Linked DNA regions of Caenorhabditis elegans. The protein of the gene in region 1 interacts with the protein of each later gene in a biochemical or structural test. Each region holds a gene or a part of one and is shown in the gene's direction. Other genes may lie near its edges.

Region 1 (7,753 bases):
GATATCTGTATCAAAAACCACATCAATCAGTGTTTCTATGCTTGAATCTGCCGAGAGGTTATATGGGCGCTCAATTGCAGGTTCCACTTCATCCGTATTGCCGATCGGTTCTTCTTTGGTAGTGGCAGGCGAAGTGAACTGACGAACGGAATGCCAATCGAAATCTGTGAAAACTCGTCCCTTTTTCCATTGGATAGCAAATGAGATCCGTTTCATCGAATAGGTTTTCTTTGCAGATGAACTTTTGAAAAGAGCAGAAAGTGAAAATAGTGCAGCTGTGAGAGGATTATACAATTCCCTGAAACAATTTTATATTTAGACAAGAAAAAAACCCATTTTATAACAACGATTCTTACCCATCTTGTGTCTCATCAAGACTTTCCGATTCCTTTGATGGGAAATAGTTTTGAATAAGCTCGAGATCAACAAGTCGTTCATCAACGGACATCGATGTTTCGAACATTTGTAGATGTTGAATTTGATCATTTGAAACTTTGAGAATATGAACTCTCATCCCGACGCTTTTTCCCGAAACTGCCAAATCACATCCAACAATCAGAAGAATATCCACATCGAATGAATAAGCTCTGATAGAATATACAGTTTCAGTTGGTTCCATTGGAGACTTTTCTTCCTCGAAGTCTGCAGATTCTAGATCTCGATTCAAAGATTTTCCGTCTGAAGCAAAGTAGTTATTCAAGTCAATAGTGCTTGGCAATTGTTTTTTCGTCTCAACATTCCATGCTTGCACCCATCCGTCTCTGGTAACAGCGAACACAATATCGGATTGGACTGAAATTTTTCGCTCTCTCGTGACTCCAGAAGTCGGGCGAAGATTCTTCATAACACATGCATCACTGACTCGTTTATCAGTGCCACCTAGAAGTTTTCCCAGAAGACCAACTTCTCCCATTGTGAATTCTTCGTGTTTATCACTGGATTCCGTGTATGATCCCAATGTGACAATGACCAACTGCCCTTCAGCGGTACAGTAAGAAATCTGAATTCAAAATTCGAAATATAGGTTGTAATCAATTTCCATTTTTATACCGTATTTCTTGAAGGATGATGTGTAACACTTGCACGAATCGGGCGCCCTGGTGTTGAAAGGGAGTGAGATGTTCTGAATCGGCGGAAATCGTCATCTTCTTTAATTCTTGCAAGAATTGAGAACGTCTGAAAATAATTATTCTCATTCGATTATGGAAATTTTTGAGAACAAACATCATGGCCTTTGGAGTGGAGTCTCGCGTAGAAACGATGAATTGCAGAAGCTGTGGGAACGACAATACATAAAACCCCTTCCTCGAAAATTGTTATCGATGTTCCAGGAATAATAGGTGTGCGTGTGAAGTCAATGCACAACGATCCATCCGTGATTGAGTAGAGCAAAGAACGCTCCTCAATGAACAGTTTCTGGCCAATCGCACGCCACAGGAAAATCCGATCGCCGTAATTTGAGCAGTGCGGAAATGTTGCAACTCCTGCGGACGGTTGCACATCAAATCCATTCGAATGAAGCGGCGCATCTAAAAAAGTGAAATTTGTTGTAGAAACAATTATTTAATGAAATTGAAACTTACTGGTGTTTACCACAAAAGTTCTAGCCGGCTTTATAGCAAATCCATCCGTGAAGCTGATTTCCGACCCGTAAACCAGCTCCATCTGAAATTAAGCATAAAACACGATGTTAAAGCAAAAGAGAAATATGGAGATGAAATAAACACGTTCAAAAATATTTAAATATCGTTAAAAACAATTTTTCATTGGCGTGAACTTGTTTTACTTGTTTTTTATACGTTTTTTTATACGTGAAAAAATGGAAGAAAACAATTCACTTTAAATTTTAATCACTTATCGAGAAGGTTCTCATTGGATTCAAAGAAAAACTTGTTAGAAATTTGTGAGTTTTTACAATAAGCTTCATATTTTGACACTTTGCGATGTAAAATTTTACAAAACAATGATGAATTGAGCCGAAAACGCCTCCATATGGAGCTCCATTCGAATTCAAAAATAAGGGGCGTGGCTGCATGAGCAATACCGCCGCATGGTATTTCGCAACATGCGCACACTTTTTCTCTGTCAAGAAAAACGAGGCCCCACGAAAAGGGGATCTGCAAAAAGGGGATCTGCGAAAAGGGGAGATACGAAAAGGGGAGATACGAAAAGGGGAGCAACGAAAAGGGGATCTGGCACTGTGCCAAACGCTATTTTTCTCGAAGAAAACGATACAACGATTGTCGCGAATACGCAGAATACTGAGTCATCAACAATGACAAAGCCGGGAAACTCCTGTTTGAAAGCCGCGCCAAAAGACACACACGTCACGCGTGTTACAGTACTACCACACATGCACATCAAACCCCAACACGTCGACACCACGCAAGGAAATCGTCACTTCTTCGTTTTACTCTTGGACCGGCAGGTCGCATGTTAAATATATGAGCTTTCTCATTTTTATCATTTAACGGATTTATCAGTAATAAATTATATAATTCTACCACTTTTGAACCTATACCGATCCGAAACATGGTGCATCGGCTCCGATGTTACGCGTCGCGTGTTGTTAAGCGTATCTTCTAGAAGAAAATTTCAAAAATCAACGTGCGTTGCGTGAGAAAAATTGCGTTTTGTGCGTTTGGCACAGTGCCAGCTCCCCTTTTCGTTGCTCCCCTTTTCGTATCTCCCCTTTTTGCAGATCCCCTTTTCGTTCTGCTCCCCTTTTCGTGGGGCCTCAGAAAAACGCGCGCCTAAACGTGAATTTTGAATTTTCTCCGCGTCCGCGAAATTCTTACGTTTCCATAGTAACAAAAGTTGGTCCGCACTTGTTTTTCATGATTATGCACGCCCAAAGAACGGTGCTGAAGCTTCAAATTTTGCAACCTCCTGTTCATTTTGACTCAAAACTCTTAATCCCAAAAAAACGCTCAATTTTGTTTTCGAACCCGTTTCTTGTTTCAGAAAACTTCGCGTTAAATGGAGGATAATTCTGTGCTCAACGAGGACTCCAATCTCGAGCATGTCGAGGGTAATTATAACATTTAAAATCAATAACTGCATAAATGCAAAGGTTTTTTAGGCCAGCCACGAAGATCTATGTCGCAACCAGTTCTGAATGTTGAAGGAGACAAAAGAACGTCTTCGACCAGTGCCACTCAACAGCAAGTATTGTCAGGAGCATTTTCGTCTGCTGATGTTCGTAGCATCCCCATCATCCAAACATGGGAAGAAAACAAAGCGCTTAAAACAAAAATAACTATCCTGAGAGTAAGTAATTTATCATATGCTTATTTAGAAATGATTTGAGTTTGTAGGGAGAACTGCAAATGTATCAGCGCCGGTATAGTGAGGCAAAGGAAGCGTCGCAGAAGAGAGTTAAGGAAGTTATGGACGATTATGTCGATCTCAAATTAGGCCAAGAAAATGTTCAAGAGAAAATGGAGCAATACAAACTGATGGAAGAGGATTTGCTAGCAATGCAATCGAGAATTGAAACTTCCGAAGACAATTTTGCCAGACAGATGAAAGAATTTGAGGCACAAAAGCATGCAATGGAGGAAAGAATCAAGGAACTGGAATTGTCCGCTACTGATGCAAACAACACAACTGTCGGATCTTTTCGTGGAACTCTTGATGACATTCTGAAGAAAAACGATCCAGATTTCACATTAACCTCTGGTTATGAAGAAAGAAAGATCAACGACCTGGAGGCAAAGCTCCTCTCTGAGATCGACAAGGTAGCTGAGCTGGAAGATCACATTCAGCAGCTCCGTCAAGAACTTGACGACCAATCTGCAAGGCTTGCCGATTCAGAAAATGTTCGCGCTCAGCTTGAAGCGGCCACTGGACAAGGAATCCTCGGAGCTGCTGGAAACGCTATGGTTCCAAATTCAACGTTCATGATCGGGAACGGTCGTGAATCACAGACGCGAGACCAGCTCAATTACATTGATGATCTTGAAACGAAGTTAGCTGATGCGAAGAAGGAAAATGATAAGGCTCGTCAGGCACTCGTTGAATACATGAACAAGTGTAGCAAGCTTGAGCACGAGATTCGAACCATGGTTAAAAATTCGACATTTGATTCTTCTTCCATGTTGCTTGGTGGTCAGACATCCGACGAGCTTAAAATCCAAATAGGAAAGGTGAACGGTGAATTGAATGTGTTGAGAGCTGAAAATCGAGAACTCCGCATTCGTTGTGATCAATTGACCGGAGGCGATGGAAATCTTAGCATTTCACTGGGACAAAGTCGACTGATGGCTGGTATTGCGACTAATGATGTCGATAGCATTGGACAAGGAAATGAGACTGGCGGAACATCGATGCGCATTCTTCCCAGAGAAAGTCAATTAGATGATCTTGAAGAAAGCAAATTGCCGCTCATGGATACATCATCTGCTGTTCGAAATGTAAGTGTATGAAAATTATTATTTAAAATAAAGTCTTGAATATTTAGCAGCAACAATTTGCCTCCATGTGGGAAGATTTCGAGTCAGTGAAAGACAGCCTGCAGAACAACCATAATGACACCCTTGAAGGTAGTAAAATTGATTCCTAGATTTTTTGAAATTGATTATTGTTAGGTTCCTTCAATTCGTCAATGCCACCACCTGGTAGAGATGCAACTCAATCGTTCCTCAGTCAGAAGTCTTTCAAGAATTCTCCGATTGTAATGCAGAAACCAAAATCACTTCATCTTCACCTGAAGAGCCATCAATCCGAGGGAGCTGGCGAACAAATACAGAATAATTCGTTTTCTACGAAGACTGCTTCTCCTCACGTGTCACAAAGTCACATTCCAATTCTGCACGATATGCAACAAATTCTGGATTCTTCTGCAATGTTCCTTGAAGGCCAGCATGATGTAGCTGTAAATGTTGAGCAAATGCAAGAGAAAATGTCCCAGATCAGAGAGGCTCTTGCTCGACTTTTCGAAAGACTTAAATCTTCTGCTGCTCTTTTTGAAGAGATTCTTGAAAGGGTATGAAAACTGTCAAGTTGTGAATCTGTAAATCTGAGTTTTTTGTAGATGGGATCCAGTGATCCAAATGCGGATAAGATCAAGAAAATGAAGCTCGCATTTGAAACAAGTATTAACGACAAGCTCAATGTATCTGCCATCTTGGAAGCAGCGGAGAAGGATCTTCATAATATGTCACTCAATTTCTCAATTCTCGAGAAGTCGATAGTTAGTCAGGCTGCGGAAGCTTCGAGAAGATTCACTATTGCACCCGATGCTGAAGGTAATATAAATTTTAGAGACGCTCATAAATCAATATTTTCCAGATGTCGCCTCATCTTCTCTTCTCAATGCCTCGTATAGTCCACTCTTCAAGTTTACAAGCAATTCAGACATAGTGGAAAAGCTTCAGAATGAGGTATCGGAGTTGAAAAATGAATTGGAGATGGCTCGTACACGAGATATGAGATCTCCATTGAACGGTTCGTCTGGAAGATTGTCGGATGTGCAGATCAACACCAATCGCATGTTTGAAGATCTCGAAGTATCTGAAGCAACGCTACAAAAGGCTAAAGAGGAAAATTCTACATTGAAAAGTCAATTTGCTGAACTCGAAGCCAATCTCCATCAAGTTAATTCTAAGCTTGGAGAAGTGCGATGCGAGCTCAATGAAGCGTTGGCTCGTGTGGATGGTGAACAGGAGACTCGTGTCAAAGCTGAAAATGCATTGGAAGAGGCTCGTCAGCTCATCAGTTCTCTAAAACATGAGGAAAATGAGCTCAAGAAAACCATTACTGATATGGGGATGCGATTGAATGAAGCAAAGAAGAGCGATGAATTCTTGAAAAGCGAGTTATCTACCGCGCTGGAGGAAGAAAAAAAATCCCAAAATCTAGCAGATGAGTTGAGTGAAGAATTGAATGGGTGGAGAATGAGAACAAAAGAGGCGGAAAATAAAGTTGAACATGCTTCATCCGAGAAATCTGAAATGCTTGAAAGAATTGTTCATTTGGAGACTGAGATGGAGAAGTTGTCGACTTCAGAAATTGCGGCCGACTATTGTTCTACGAAGATGACAGAAAGAAAGAAGGAAATTGAGTTGGCGAAGTATCGCGAAGATTTTGAGAATGCCGCTATTGTAGGATTGGAACGTATCAGTAAGGAGATATCTGAGCTAACCAAGAAGACTTTGAAAGCCAAGATTATCCCAAGGTATTATCAAACGTCGTGCTTGTTTTTTTTTATTTGAGAACATTTTCAGCAACATCTCATCGATTCAACTCGTTTGCGATGAACTCTGTCGTCGTCTTTCCAGGGAACGAGAGCAACAGCATGAATACGCGAAAGTTATGAGAGACGTCAATGAAAAAATTGAAAAGCTTCAATTAGAGAAAGATGCTCTCGAACATGAGCTGAAAATGATGAGCTCTAATAACGAGAATGTCCCACCAGTTGGAACATCGGTCAGTGGCATGCCTACTAAAACATCGAATCAAAAGTGTGCTCAACCTCGTAAGTCATACTTATGCACATCAGAAGTTGAATTTTCACCAATTCTCCAGATTACACGAGCCCTACTCGACAATTGCTCCACGAATCAACTATGGCTGTCGACGCAATTGTTCAGAAACTCAAGAAGACTCACAATATGTCAGGAATGGGTCCAGAGCTTAAGGAGACGATTGGCAACGTCATCAATGAATCCAGAGTTCTTCGCGATTTCCTCCATCAGAAGCTCATTCTATTCAAAGGAATCGATATGTCCAATTGGAAGAACGAGACCGTCGATCAACTGATCACAGATCTCGGACAATTGCATCAGGATAACTTGATGCTTGAGGAGCAAATCAAGAAGTACAAAAAGGAACTGAAACTGACAAAATCCGCCATCCCGGTATGAAATTCTTTTTCTATTGAAATCTATTTTGAAAAATATCATTTTCAGACACTTGGTGTCGAATTTCAAGACAGAATCAAAACGGAAATTGGCAAAATCGCAACTGATATGGGAGGAGCTGTGAAGGAAATTCGCAAAAAGTGAACTGATCTGTTAATGTATTAAAATGGAACCAGTTTTATCAACACTATCATCTCGACAAGATTAACTTGTAACGATTGTATTGTTTTCCCAGCCTAAAGATACACCTAATGCATCTATCAATGTACTTGTGAATTAAATGCTTCTTTTCTGGTAGTTGACTGCAATCCCATTACAGATAATAAAAGGAACAGATTAATTTAATGAAAAAACAGCGGACAATCTTACAATAATACAAACAGTTGAGATAAATAAGACAAATTTCGATGGAAGATTTATACAATGACATTGATCAGCTTTCCTCTTCATCCTCTTCGAAGATATTGTGAAGGTGATAAGCTTGACTTTCTGTAAAATTAAGGCGTTTTGTAAATTCAAGAAATTGTGAATACCTTACTTCTGTTTTTCAAGTCTTCCTTTTCGGTAATAGCCGACAAATTAAGGGAGAATGTGACATCGCTTGGATCTGCGTCTTCTCGTGATCGAATCGGAGTTGAACAATGACGTCCTGCACCAAGCTTACTTTCATCGAAAATCAACGGAGTCACTCCGCGTGACAGTGGATCATTTTCAGTGTTACCAGATGAACTTGTTGGCACATTTTCCTCTTCCTCGTCAACAGATTTCCGTTTTCGATTAGAATTCTCTTTCACGACTGGTGGCTCTGTTGACTGACCCCGACGACTACGACGCAAAGTGACGTTGGCCGAAATATTGACTTCCTTTTCCGGGGATTCTTCAAGAAAATA
Region 2 (5,570 bases), 3.8 Mb from region 1:
AAGTCACAGGTTCAAGGGCTCCACCGGCGAACTTTAGAATTTCAACTTTTCCTCCAGACTCTGCTACGAATACGTGGTTCGACAAAGGGTGAAATGTTAGCTCGTGGGAGAAAGTTTTCATTTCATAGGACTGAAAATAATTAAATTTAAAATGTTTTGATCGTCTTTACAACTTTACAAGCAATCCTAGCAAAATCCTAAAAATCTCAAGTTGCTAAATAGCTCTTGAAACTCACATTTACAACTTGATAATTCCGAATGTCTACTGTATTTATCCGATTATCTTTGTCGAGAAATATGAAATATTCGTCACACGGAGACCAGGAGATGAAGAAATTTCCAACTGAAAGCCGATCATTTTTAGGAGTTTAAATTGTTAATTTGAAACCTCGATTTGAAATTCGATGAGTCGGTTTGCTTTGTCGAATGTCCCATACACAAATGTTTCTATCTGCACTGGCTGATGCAAATAAGTTTGGCTGCTTTTCACTACATGCTACCTGAAATAGAAATCGTTAACACCAGATGAGGAAATTTCCGATATACCTGTTCCACAGACGATGAATGACTAGAGCCCACCCAAGAAAATCTGAGACGACCTCCATCCACATTTGCAACGCTCACTTTTTTGTCGAATGCACCACATACAAGTTTTGTTCCATCACAATTAAATGCTATTGATTGGCATTGCTGGACCTGGAATAGAAAAGTAGTTTTCATTTCTAAAATTGATGAGTGGGAAAGCTTGAAATATATTATTTCTTTAGGTATACCTTCATATCGGTTGATCTGATTCTTTTGTACTTTTCAAAATATGTCGAAGCATCAGCTGCCGTTAACAGACGTGCACATCGTCGTTCTCGGGAAGACACTGTCATCTGAATTAGATTTTAATACTTTCCGAATATCATGAAATTTTATAAATAAGGTATAAAGATGGGACAAGTTAAGCCCATTTTTACCGAGAAGCAAAGAAAAATCAAATAAATGAAATACCCGATTTATTGATAAATGAAAACCCGTCGCAACTCATAAATCTAAACAATAAATCAATCATTGAGAAGCTTTGGTATAAGATTTTGATAGAAAACTTTCAACGTCAGTACATGGAGCTGGAAGTCTGTTGTATGCTATTGATCCGAACTTTATCAGGTTATTTGCTTCTTCTGCAAGATTAATATGAAAATGAGTTTATTACTATCGATTCACCTGGACAGGCGTCAACAAACTTAGGCAGAAGCGATAAAGCATGTTGAGCCACTTGAGGATTTGAATTTACAAGTGCCAAGTGATAGGAATCGAGCATCATTTGCCGTGGCTAAACTTTCAAAATTGAAATTATTGTCATTTTGATAATTCTTACACTTTGAGGATGGGCCAAGATTTTCAGACAAGCCGCAAATGCAAATTTACGAATAGGTGTCGTTCTGTGAGTTAGCAGCTGGGACACGAACTTTGGTGCTTTCGAACATCGTTCCGGATTACTTCTCTCGATTTTCTGAATTATTTCAAGCAGTTCACGATCATTTGGAGTATGCGATTGTTCGTATTCGAAGATTTGTTTGGACAGAGGGTCACTGAACAGTTATCGAATTTTTAGAGAAAACCTAATAAAAACCAACCTTATGACTTGCTGATCATTGGGAAGAAATCGAGATTGACTAGCAGCACGTCCCATCATTCGTTCATCAATATCACCCATTGTTTTTGTGTTTTATTTTTCGCTGAAATTCACAATATATTTAGATTTTATGTTTTAAAAACGACTATAAAAAAATAGTTATTTCAATTTGAATTGCAAAAAATATGATACAAAAGTACGCATTTTCGCGTGGCCGTGTTTGCGGACACAGAAAACAAACATTGGCGCGCCCGTCAAATGATTAGTGTTTACGCTTTTAAAATCATTCATTTTAAAACTTTTTCTATTCTCAGCGTATTAAAAATGGAAGATGATGCTCCAATGAATCTCTGTAATGAACAGTTCGAAGAAATTGAAGATAGTCCCATTGATGACAATGATAATGAATCATTCTGTAAGTTATTATACATGTTATGCAATTAAAATAGCTTTTTCAGACAATGCTGATGGTGATGTAGAACTCGAAGAAGAGGAAGTACACGAGACACCGAAAAACTTCAAAAATGGTGGTCGCTTCAAAACAAACATGACTAATCCAAAGGTTAATGACCTGACAACGATTGAGGAGAAAAATGAAGATTTGCGATCTGCCGCTAGCTCGCGCAGTGCGAGTCGTCCAGCCAGCGTGATGAGCGATAAGTCGTTTTCTAGTCAATTTGAGTTTCAAAGTGGTGGAGGTTAGTTTTAATCTACTTAAACCATTAATTTTGTTTCTAATTTTCAGAGAATGCCATTGAAGAATACACTAATCAGGTTTTTGCTGATGAAAACAAAGCTGACCTGCTTTTTCCTGAAACTTCAAAATTTATGAACGGAGCATCGCCGCCTAAAGACAAGCATCACTCCTGGGAGCCGTCCATACACCATTATGATAAGCAACCACCTCCCGACATTCAAACAAATTCGCCCGTCTTCGGAAACTTGAATCATCGAAAAAATAAATTGATTCCCCAAGCTAGAGCAAAGCCAGGAGCCAATGACAACGAAATCGTGGAGAGGGATAATGACGAAAATGTGCCGACAACATCTGATAAATCGGCATTTATCACATCACCGATGAATTCCACAAATCACGACGAGAAAACGAGCACTCCTAAAAGACGTGAGACTTTCAATTTAAACTTTGTTACGACAATATTTTCAGCAACTAATCGGAAAATCGGTCAATACCAAGGGCCTAATTTCGATTTATCAAGCATCTACGTTGGTAGTCCACAACACCAGAATACATCAATCTCTACGGGACAACAGATGCCGACTTCGTCTTATTCGCATGCACATTCTGAAACAATGATGACAAATCAAACTATTAATGAGTCAATGGTTCGAAGAGTGCTCAATGGAAACAATAAGAATCAAGATCTGTTCGCAGCATTAGAAGAAGCTCGTAAAAGAAGAGCTGCTCAACCGTCGAAGCCAGATTTCAGAATGTAAGCATTCCGAAAAACAATTTGTAACGTTATACAAAAGTATAGTTTTTTTCCTGAAATTCGTAAAATCGCGGTTTAAGTAATATTATGTTTATTTAAGTTGAAAAAGTTAGTGCGTTTTTAAATTCAGTTTTATAATTTTTTCTTTCAGAAACACTACGCGAACTCGTGTTCCTATAAAGCCAACATCTGCACGACATTCTGGAAATGTCGTATCCTCGACGTCCAACGACAACACAACTGCAGCATCATCCAAAGATTTGACGACGAGCCGAAAAGCGATGGAGACTTTTAGGCAGAATGCATCAATGGCAGATGCCACTAATTCTAATACAGCAAGCATGACGAGTATCTTGAGCACAATCTCCACTGCAAGGACGGATATTAGTCGTTCATCTCGTAATCATGGTGGTGGTTTTTCGAACACATCCGTCTCTACCGTCATTCCGGCCAATAATGGCAATGTTTCACTGTCCCATGGACGCGATGGACGGGATTCGGTCAGTTCGGTGCGCACAATGTCCCGTGCTTCTTCGACCTCGACGGTATATGCAGGATCCACATTTTCTGGAGTATCAAAGCCATTGCGAATTCATGCTAAACGCGTGGCATTCGGTTGTGTTGCAGTCGGCGAGACATTGAGAGTTGAAGTCGAAGTGGAAAACATTTCCGATCGTCAGTGTCTTGTTCGAGCCAGTACGGATAGTACCACACCAGTTTATCAAATCCTTGACAACAAGCTAACTATGGTTGATCCAAAAAAGAGTATCAAGTTTCAAGTATCCTTTTCTCCTAGTTCTGTCGGACGTTATCAAGTTATTATGAGTATCGAAGTACCGGCACAAAATTTTATACATAAGGTATGTTTTTCAAAAATTTGATGGAATTGGATGTCATCGTGTCAAGCACATGTGTGTGTTTGCCTATGTTTGACTATGAAACATATTCGATACATTTTTCAAAAGCCATAATAAAGTTATGTTTTCTTCAGATTCCGATGTGGGGTAATGGTGGAATTGCGAAGTTCGTGCCCACTTCGCCAGATTTGCAACAAACTATAAATCAGTCAGAGTATGCAATGTGCACCTCATGCGCAAAACGAATCTCTTTTAAGATCAGCAACTCTGCAGGAACAAGGTAGGCTAAATAGACGACGCTTACATAACAATTTCTTTCAGAGACGGCTTTGCGATGATTAAAGTGTTCGACTCAGCGATGCGACAGCTTCCAGACGGATGTGTAGCTTTCTTTCCTGCACCCGGTTTCATTGTAAAGAAAAAATCGGATAAGCGTGTTGACATTCGCATCGACTCATCTTATATTGATCTTCACGATGAAAACAATTTTCGTACATCGTCTTCGCTTTCGACAGCCTCAACAACATCCTCATTCCAGCGACGTATTCTTCCTGGAGCCAAATTCTTTGTGCATGTCGTTTGGGGTGAAGAAACCATGCGAACCAGACTTCGATTGTTAATTTGAATACAGATGAAATGGTATTACATTTGAAATTATTTAGGCTAGAAGTTCGCACAGGACAGCATCAACTAATCGATGGTCATGACTTCACATCTTTCCAATTTTCCGATGAAGAAGTTCTTCGTGCTGTTCCAGTTGGATTCCCCGCTATCAAGCCCGAGGACCGTGATCTGTTCGCTGCTTCTTATCGTAGTTTCTTCATCAATTTTTTCACTTCTACAACTGAATTCCGTGCTGCTACAAGCCGGAAGAAGAAAGAGATATGCAGCAACGACGACTCTACTCTACTCGAGACAACAGCTTTCCGTAATCAGACATTTGTCAACGACGTTACAATTGTTCCCAATACAAGATTTTCGAATAGAAAGTAAAATCTTAACCTAACTTTCCAAATATTCTCTGATTTCTGTCCAGGCTTCGAAAAAATTCACGGTTCTGTAAAATGTAGGTTTCAATTTCAATAAAGTGGTGATGAAGTTTTATTTGATTTACATTTTTTATGTTTATTTTTCTTTCTTTGAAACGGTAGAAGTTGTGGAATTCTTTTCGGCTGTGTCAGCATCCGGTTTCTTCATCGTTTCCTCATCATCTTCATCCTCTGTGTCCTTTTGTCGAATATCAGCTTCATCTTCAGATTCTTCAAGCTCTTGTCCCTCATCAGGCATCATACACAAACGATGCCGTTTCCGAAGATAAAACTGCCATTGGAGAACCACTTGATCTTCTACGAATTTCGCGCTTGGTCCTGAAAATAAGTTACTATTCTTCTGATAGATTAAATAAAATTTGAACTACCGTAAGCCATCGAATCGCGAAATTGCTGACTCTGCAGTGCTTCAAGCATGTGCAGACATTGAGGAAATTTCAAGCATCTGGCATATTGAGGATCTTTCCAATAGAGAAGATATTTGAGATAGTTGACAAAATATTCTTCTTTGAAATAACCACGTTGCGCGAGAACTGGAAAATATGAAATTTGCAGGAAAAAGAGTGCATAAAAAAACAAGAAACTTAGAATA
Region 3 (4,903 bases), on another chromosome or scaffold:
TTAATTAAATCATAAATTTTTAGATTACAATTGTATATACAAGTCGACTAGGAAAAATGAAAGATCTCCAAGTTCCGGAGATTGAAATTTCAGGAGTTCTTTTGGAAAGATTGGAAGCTTGTAATTATAGGCTTGACGAGCTTTTTATAGACTTGGTAGTTAAAAAATTAATCTGAATTCCGCGTATTTTGATATTTCAGAAAGCAAGCAAATGTATTTGTAGTTCGAATGAGCTTTTGAACATTCCAAAAATCATCGTTAGAAGGCTTTTTCTAAAAATGGAATCTCTGGAAATGTTGGAGTGGTGGATTGAAAGAGTTGATCCGAACTCTCTAAATGAGCTGTGTATTGCTCCTCATGGAGAATATCCACTTGATATTCCGTCCAAGATATTTGATCTTCCACATGTAAGTATGTTTATTTTTGAATATTTTTGGTACAATACATTTTCAGTTCCAAAATTGCAAAACACTGAGTATTATGGAGCACTGTTCTTTCTCAACCGACCAATTTCTAGCATTGTGTATTGCAATTCCAAATTTTTCTTTTTATTCGGACAGAATTGATGAAAATATAGTTGCTCATGCGATAAAGGTATTGAAAATCATCATGGAATGAAGAATTGTTATTTTTCAGAAACGTCTCAGCTTAAATGATCAATTTGTTGTCCTAGAATGGTTTTTCACTAAACACGTGAATGTTGAAAAAGTCACAGGAGATTTGAAGTGTACGAATTATGATAGAAAGTGAGCAGAAAACTGATGTTAGGCAAACTAGAATTAATTTCAGAGAGCGCTTTGATGTCAAAACTGAGTGCTTCGAGCCAGTTGATGTATACAGTGTTCCAGATGAGAATAACAAGAAAACGTCCTTGCTGGTTTTGAAAGATTCAACTGACAATTTCAAACCGTATAACATTGTTGCGTTTTCATAATTTTATGTTTTGAGATGCCGTCTTGGAAATATAGTGTTTTTGAAGCTAAATATCCTATCTCATGTATTAAATAAAATTGTTATAGTATCTCTTTCCATCCATTTTAATCGTCAAAGAAAGGCGTGTAAACCACGAAAACTTACCACTAATCCAAAAAGAGAAGCTGCCTTCTCTCCAAATGACGGTAAGACGTGGAAGACACGTGGTAAAAATGTATTACGTACGCCATAAAATATACGTATTAATCCATTTAAAATTAATTTTTCTTTTATTAACATCTGGCATCGTTTAACACACGTGCAAATGTTCTGTTACAAGCCCAAAAAGGTTCGTTGCTAATTTTTAAAACATTAATGTACAAAATTATTGCAGAAAGTACATTGAATAATAAATTTTTCAATTTTTAAAACCGTTTTTTAAATCAATGTCTCCGTGATATTTATGTTTGACCAGAAAATGTTTGATCGATGACAGCGCGCTGTTTTGTTTAGCACCCTTTTTCATCGGCGCGTAAATCGACACACGGTTCGCTGCGAGACCTGCGCCCGCCAAGCATCAACATTCGAATTTGCCGTCCGCCATTTTCGTCCTAAAATGACTTTTACCGATTCTTTTTCAAGTTTCCAGCTCGCCTCTTGTCATTTTTAGAAATAAAAACGTTTATTCAATTATTAATACTGAATATTTTAATTTTTGTGTTGCATTTCAGATGAATCGACTTCCCAACATTGCAAAACCCCCACAAAAGTCCAACCAAAGAAAGGAGAAGGCTCCACCAGAGGTTCCCGCTCTCATCGCCGACAAGGATCGTGGGACCTATTATGAGAAAGGACGATTTTTGGGCAAGGGAGGATTCGCTCACTGTTATGAGCTTACGAATCGAGCAACACGCGAGGTTGTCGCTGGAAAAGTGGTTCCGAAGTCGATGCTCGTCAAGCAATACCAGAGAGATAAGGTAGACAATGAACGAATCTTAGTTCAGTGCATATTACGATTTTTCAGATGACACAAGAGGTGCAGATTCATCGAGAGCTTGGACACATCAATATCGTGAAGTTATTCAACTTCTTCGAGGACAATCTCAACGTGTATATCACTTTGGAGTTATGTGCAAGACGGTCGCTGATGGAGTTGCACAAAAGAAGAAAGGCGGTCACCGAACCTGAAGCTCGTTATTTCACTCATCAAATTGTGGATGGCGTGCTGTATTTGCATGATCTGAACATCATTCATCGTGATATGAAGCTTGGAAATCTTTTCCTCAATGATGATCTAGTTGTCAAAATTGGAGATTTCGGATTAGCAACAACGGTCAACGGTGATGAGAGAAAGAAAACGTTGTGTGGAACGCCAAACTACATAGCTCCGGAGGTTTTGAACAAAGCTGGACACTCATTTGAAGTTGACATTTGGGCAGTTGGATGCATTCTGTACATTCTTCTTTTCGGACAACCACCATTCGAGTCTAAATCGCTTGAAGAGACATACTCACGCATTCGCCACAACAACTACACCATTCCGTCGATCGCAACACAACCAGCAGCAAGCCTAATCCGCAAGATGCTTGATCCTGAGCCAACACGTCGTCCGACTGCCAAGCAGGTAATTTCAATAGTTTTGAACTGGAGTGAAAATCATTTTAGTATTATCGGAGATTCGAGTTTCATCATTAGAAAATTTGTACTTTTGAATTTTATCGTGAACTTTTATTGAGAGATAGTTCACGTTCAGTTTGATTGCCCTTCGTTCTAATTAGTAAAGAGATCGAAAACAATTTTTAAAAAATCAGTTCGAATATTTAAATAAGTTATGAAATCTCTTCAACTCGGAATGAAAACCCTACAGGTTCAACGCGATGGCTTCTTCAAGTCAGGATTCATGCCGACTAGACTTCCAGTCTCCTGCCTCACTATGGTGCCAAAGTTCGGAGGACACGAAACTTCGATGATGGAGGAAAATGTTGCTCCAAGAGGGGTTGATGCTCGTTCACAACGCCCATTGAACGGAAGAGCTGGATTGTCTGCCCTCCCACAACACATCGTGTCGAACAATGCCGATCGTGAGCGTGCTCAACAACAAGCTGCAGAGGCGACTTTCCGGGAGCCCGAGGATGCATACCTTTCACAACTTTTCCACCAAGTTGCTGTGCTCTTAGAGCAGCGTATTCCAGGGGTAAGAATAAACAAGAGGTTTTTTTTAAATTAAAAGTTTGTTACAGCTGGAAGAAGAAGAAGCTGCTCTTGATGGTTATCAATCACCAGAGTGCCTCCCGGTTTTCTGGATTTCGAAATGGGTTGACTATTCGGACAAGTATGGCATCGGATATCAACTATGTGACAATTCCGTCGGAGTTCTCTTCAATGACAATTCTCGTATCATGCTTGATCAAGCTGGAAACGAGTTGACCTATATTGAGAAGAGCAACAAAGAGCACTACTTCTCGATGCACTCAGGTGAAATGCCTGGATTGCTCAACAAGAAAGTCACATTGCTTAAGTATTTTCGATCCTACATGAATGACCATTTGGTGAAAGCTGGAGAAGGATCTGAACAAAGAGCTGGTGATGACTTGGCTCGTTTACCAACGCTTCGAGTTTGGTTCAGAACCAAATCAGCAATTGTTTTGCACCTTTCCAATGGAACTGTTCAGATAAATTTCTTCAATGTAAGCAAATTCATAATTTAATGGAAACACCCAACAATATAATTTTCAGGATCATGTCAAGATGATGATGTGCCCATTAATGCAAGCAGTTACATTCATCGATCAAAACAAGCGTATGCTCACCTACAAGCTGAACAATCTTCAGCGCAATGGATGTCCAGAGGTTTGAATCGCCATTTCAGTATCAACAAATATAACGTATAATTTACAGAAATTCCTTCACCGACTGAAGTATGCGAAGACAATGATCGAAAGGTTGATGAGCGATGCTAACGTTGTATCCCAGAATCCAGCTCGTCAACCGGATATGCCACGGTCAATGGCAGCTGCTCGTTCAGCTTCGGCAGGATCACGAGGACCAAATCAAGCTGCATCGCACCTTCCCCAGTCGGCAAGTGGATCCAATATTCACCCACGTCGATAGATCCGTATGTGCTCTTTGCCACTTCCATGAATTTGCTTACATCTCCTGATTAATTCCAAGAAGTATTATTCTATACATTTAACCCGTACTCTTCATTTATTGTTGCTGTTTTTCATCGACCCTTTTAGTCCCATGTTTCAGCATCCAACATGTCTTTATTCCCCGTCCTCGATCTCCCGTAGCTCATTTCATTGTAAATACTGATGAGACCCGCTGTAGCCCTTTTTCATTCGTTTGTATTCATGGGCGAGGCGATTTTTATTTTGCGTTTTTATTTCTTTTTGCTAATTGAATCATCTTTTTTTGGTATTAGTCCCACGAAATAAAACGTACCGATGATTATTAAACTGTATTCTTCATTTTTCCAAACTTTCTCGACAATTTCATTTTTGGTAGATAGCAGCACATTGGGAAAAATCAAGTTGAGCTGCTCATCTGCCTCAACTTTCCATTTCAGAATTTTCGAAAAAGCGTGTATAATATTTACTGATTCCGAGACAATTATTTGAACATGATTGTTACAAAGATCACGGTCGCAAAGTAACAAATGTTCTGTTTAATTACTTGCCACTCTGAACAGTTTCCGTCACTTATTTTATATCCAAACAGGTTCGATTCCAAATAGTCTCAAATTATGCCAATGGGATCTGCTTTACTGTAACAGTTGGACATAAACTGTTATATGAAATCAAAAATACAATAGTTTAAATTGTTTTTGCTCTCTGCTTGAATTTTGGATTTCTAGAGATCTAGAGCAGAGCTGAGCAGCCGGCCAAAAAAATCGGCGATCGCCGATGAAATTTTTTTTTCGGCGATCGCCGATCACAAATTGCCAAAAAAAAATCGGCGATCGCCAATTGCCGATTGCCGATCAGTGTGC

Evidence for each region.
Region 2: the proteins of spd-5 (region 1) and spd-2 form a complex in vitro, tested with the Caenorhabditis elegans proteins (2 studies listed by BioGRID, with this or other methods).
Region 3: of the proteins of spd-5 (region 1) and plk-1, one has a biochemical effect on the other in vitro, tested with the Caenorhabditis elegans proteins (4 studies listed by BioGRID, with this or other methods).

The regions. Positions count from the first base shown.
Region 1 is NC_003279.8:5,170,748-5,178,500, reverse strand, and holds spd-5 (Spindle-defective protein 5), read left to right. Parts: upstream 1-1,846; 5' UTR 1,847-1,903; intron 1,904-2,964; 5' UTR 2,965-2,979; coding exon 2,980-3,031; intron 3,032-3,082; coding exon 3,083-3,270; intron 3,271-3,317; coding exon 3,318-4,415; intron 4,416-4,462; coding exon 4,463-4,544; intron 4,545-4,589; coding exon 4,590-4,987; intron 4,988-5,035; coding exon 5,036-5,249; intron 5,250-5,292; coding exon 5,293-6,178; intron 6,179-6,227; coding exon 6,228-6,478; intron 6,479-6,528; coding exon 6,529-6,860; intron 6,861-6,911; coding exon 6,912-7,007; 3' UTR 7,008-7,199; downstream 7,200-7,753. Other genes in the region: npp-6 (NUP160 middle TPR domain-containing protein), read right to left, coding at 1-298, 357-1,000, 1,051-1,176, 1,225-1,529, 1,584-1,665; Condensin-2 complex subunit hcp-6, read right to left, coding at 7,200-7,352, 7,397-7,740. UniProt on the Caenorhabditis elegans protein: Plays a central role in centrosome maturation and mitotic spindle assembly during the first division of the zygote. Required for the centrosomal localization of air-1 and zyg-9. Probably not required in late embryogenesis and during larval development.
Region 2 is NC_003279.8:8,966,447-8,972,016, reverse strand, and holds spd-2 (Spindle-defective protein 2), read left to right. Parts: upstream 1-1,935; 5' UTR 1,936-1,945; coding exon 1,946-2,036; intron 2,037-2,079; coding exon 2,080-2,319; intron 2,320-2,366; coding exon 2,367-2,744; intron 2,745-2,786; coding exon 2,787-3,072; intron 3,073-3,223; coding exon 3,224-3,932; intron 3,933-4,063; coding exon 4,064-4,209; intron 4,210-4,250; coding exon 4,251-4,544; intron 4,545-4,591; coding exon 4,592-4,922; 3' UTR 4,923-5,032; downstream 5,033-5,570. Other genes in the region: thoc-3 (WD_REPEATS_REGION domain-containing protein), read right to left, coding at 1-130, 237-343, 389-500, 547-696, 774-878; F32H2.10 (Integrator complex subunit 1 R4 domain-containing protein), read right to left, coding at 1,054-1,166, 1,210-1,318, 1,364-1,577, 1,623-1,702; mdt-31 (Mediator of RNA polymerase II transcription subunit 31), read right to left, coding at 5,055-5,296, 5,347-5,511. UniProt on the Caenorhabditis elegans protein: Required both for centrosome duplication and maturation. Required for pericentriolar material (PCM) recruitment.
Region 3 is NC_003281.10:8,099,705-8,104,607, forward strand, and holds plk-1 (Serine/threonine-protein kinase plk-1), read left to right. Parts: upstream 1-1,643; coding exon 1,644-1,889; intron 1,890-1,936; coding exon 1,937-2,536; intron 2,537-2,779; coding exon 2,780-3,106; intron 3,107-3,152; coding exon 3,153-3,599; intron 3,600-3,648; coding exon 3,649-3,762; intron 3,763-3,810; coding exon 3,811-4,023; 3' UTR 4,024-4,365; downstream 4,366-4,903. Other genes in the region: K06H7.1 (uncharacterized protein), read left to right, coding at 24-155, 201-407, 454-594, 637-746, 790-934. UniProt on the Caenorhabditis elegans protein: Required for oocyte nuclear envelope breakdown before entry of oocyte into spermatheca. In meiotic cells, required for spindle dynamics and probably for spindle attachment to the chromosomes. Zygotic role in the development of the germline and nerve cord.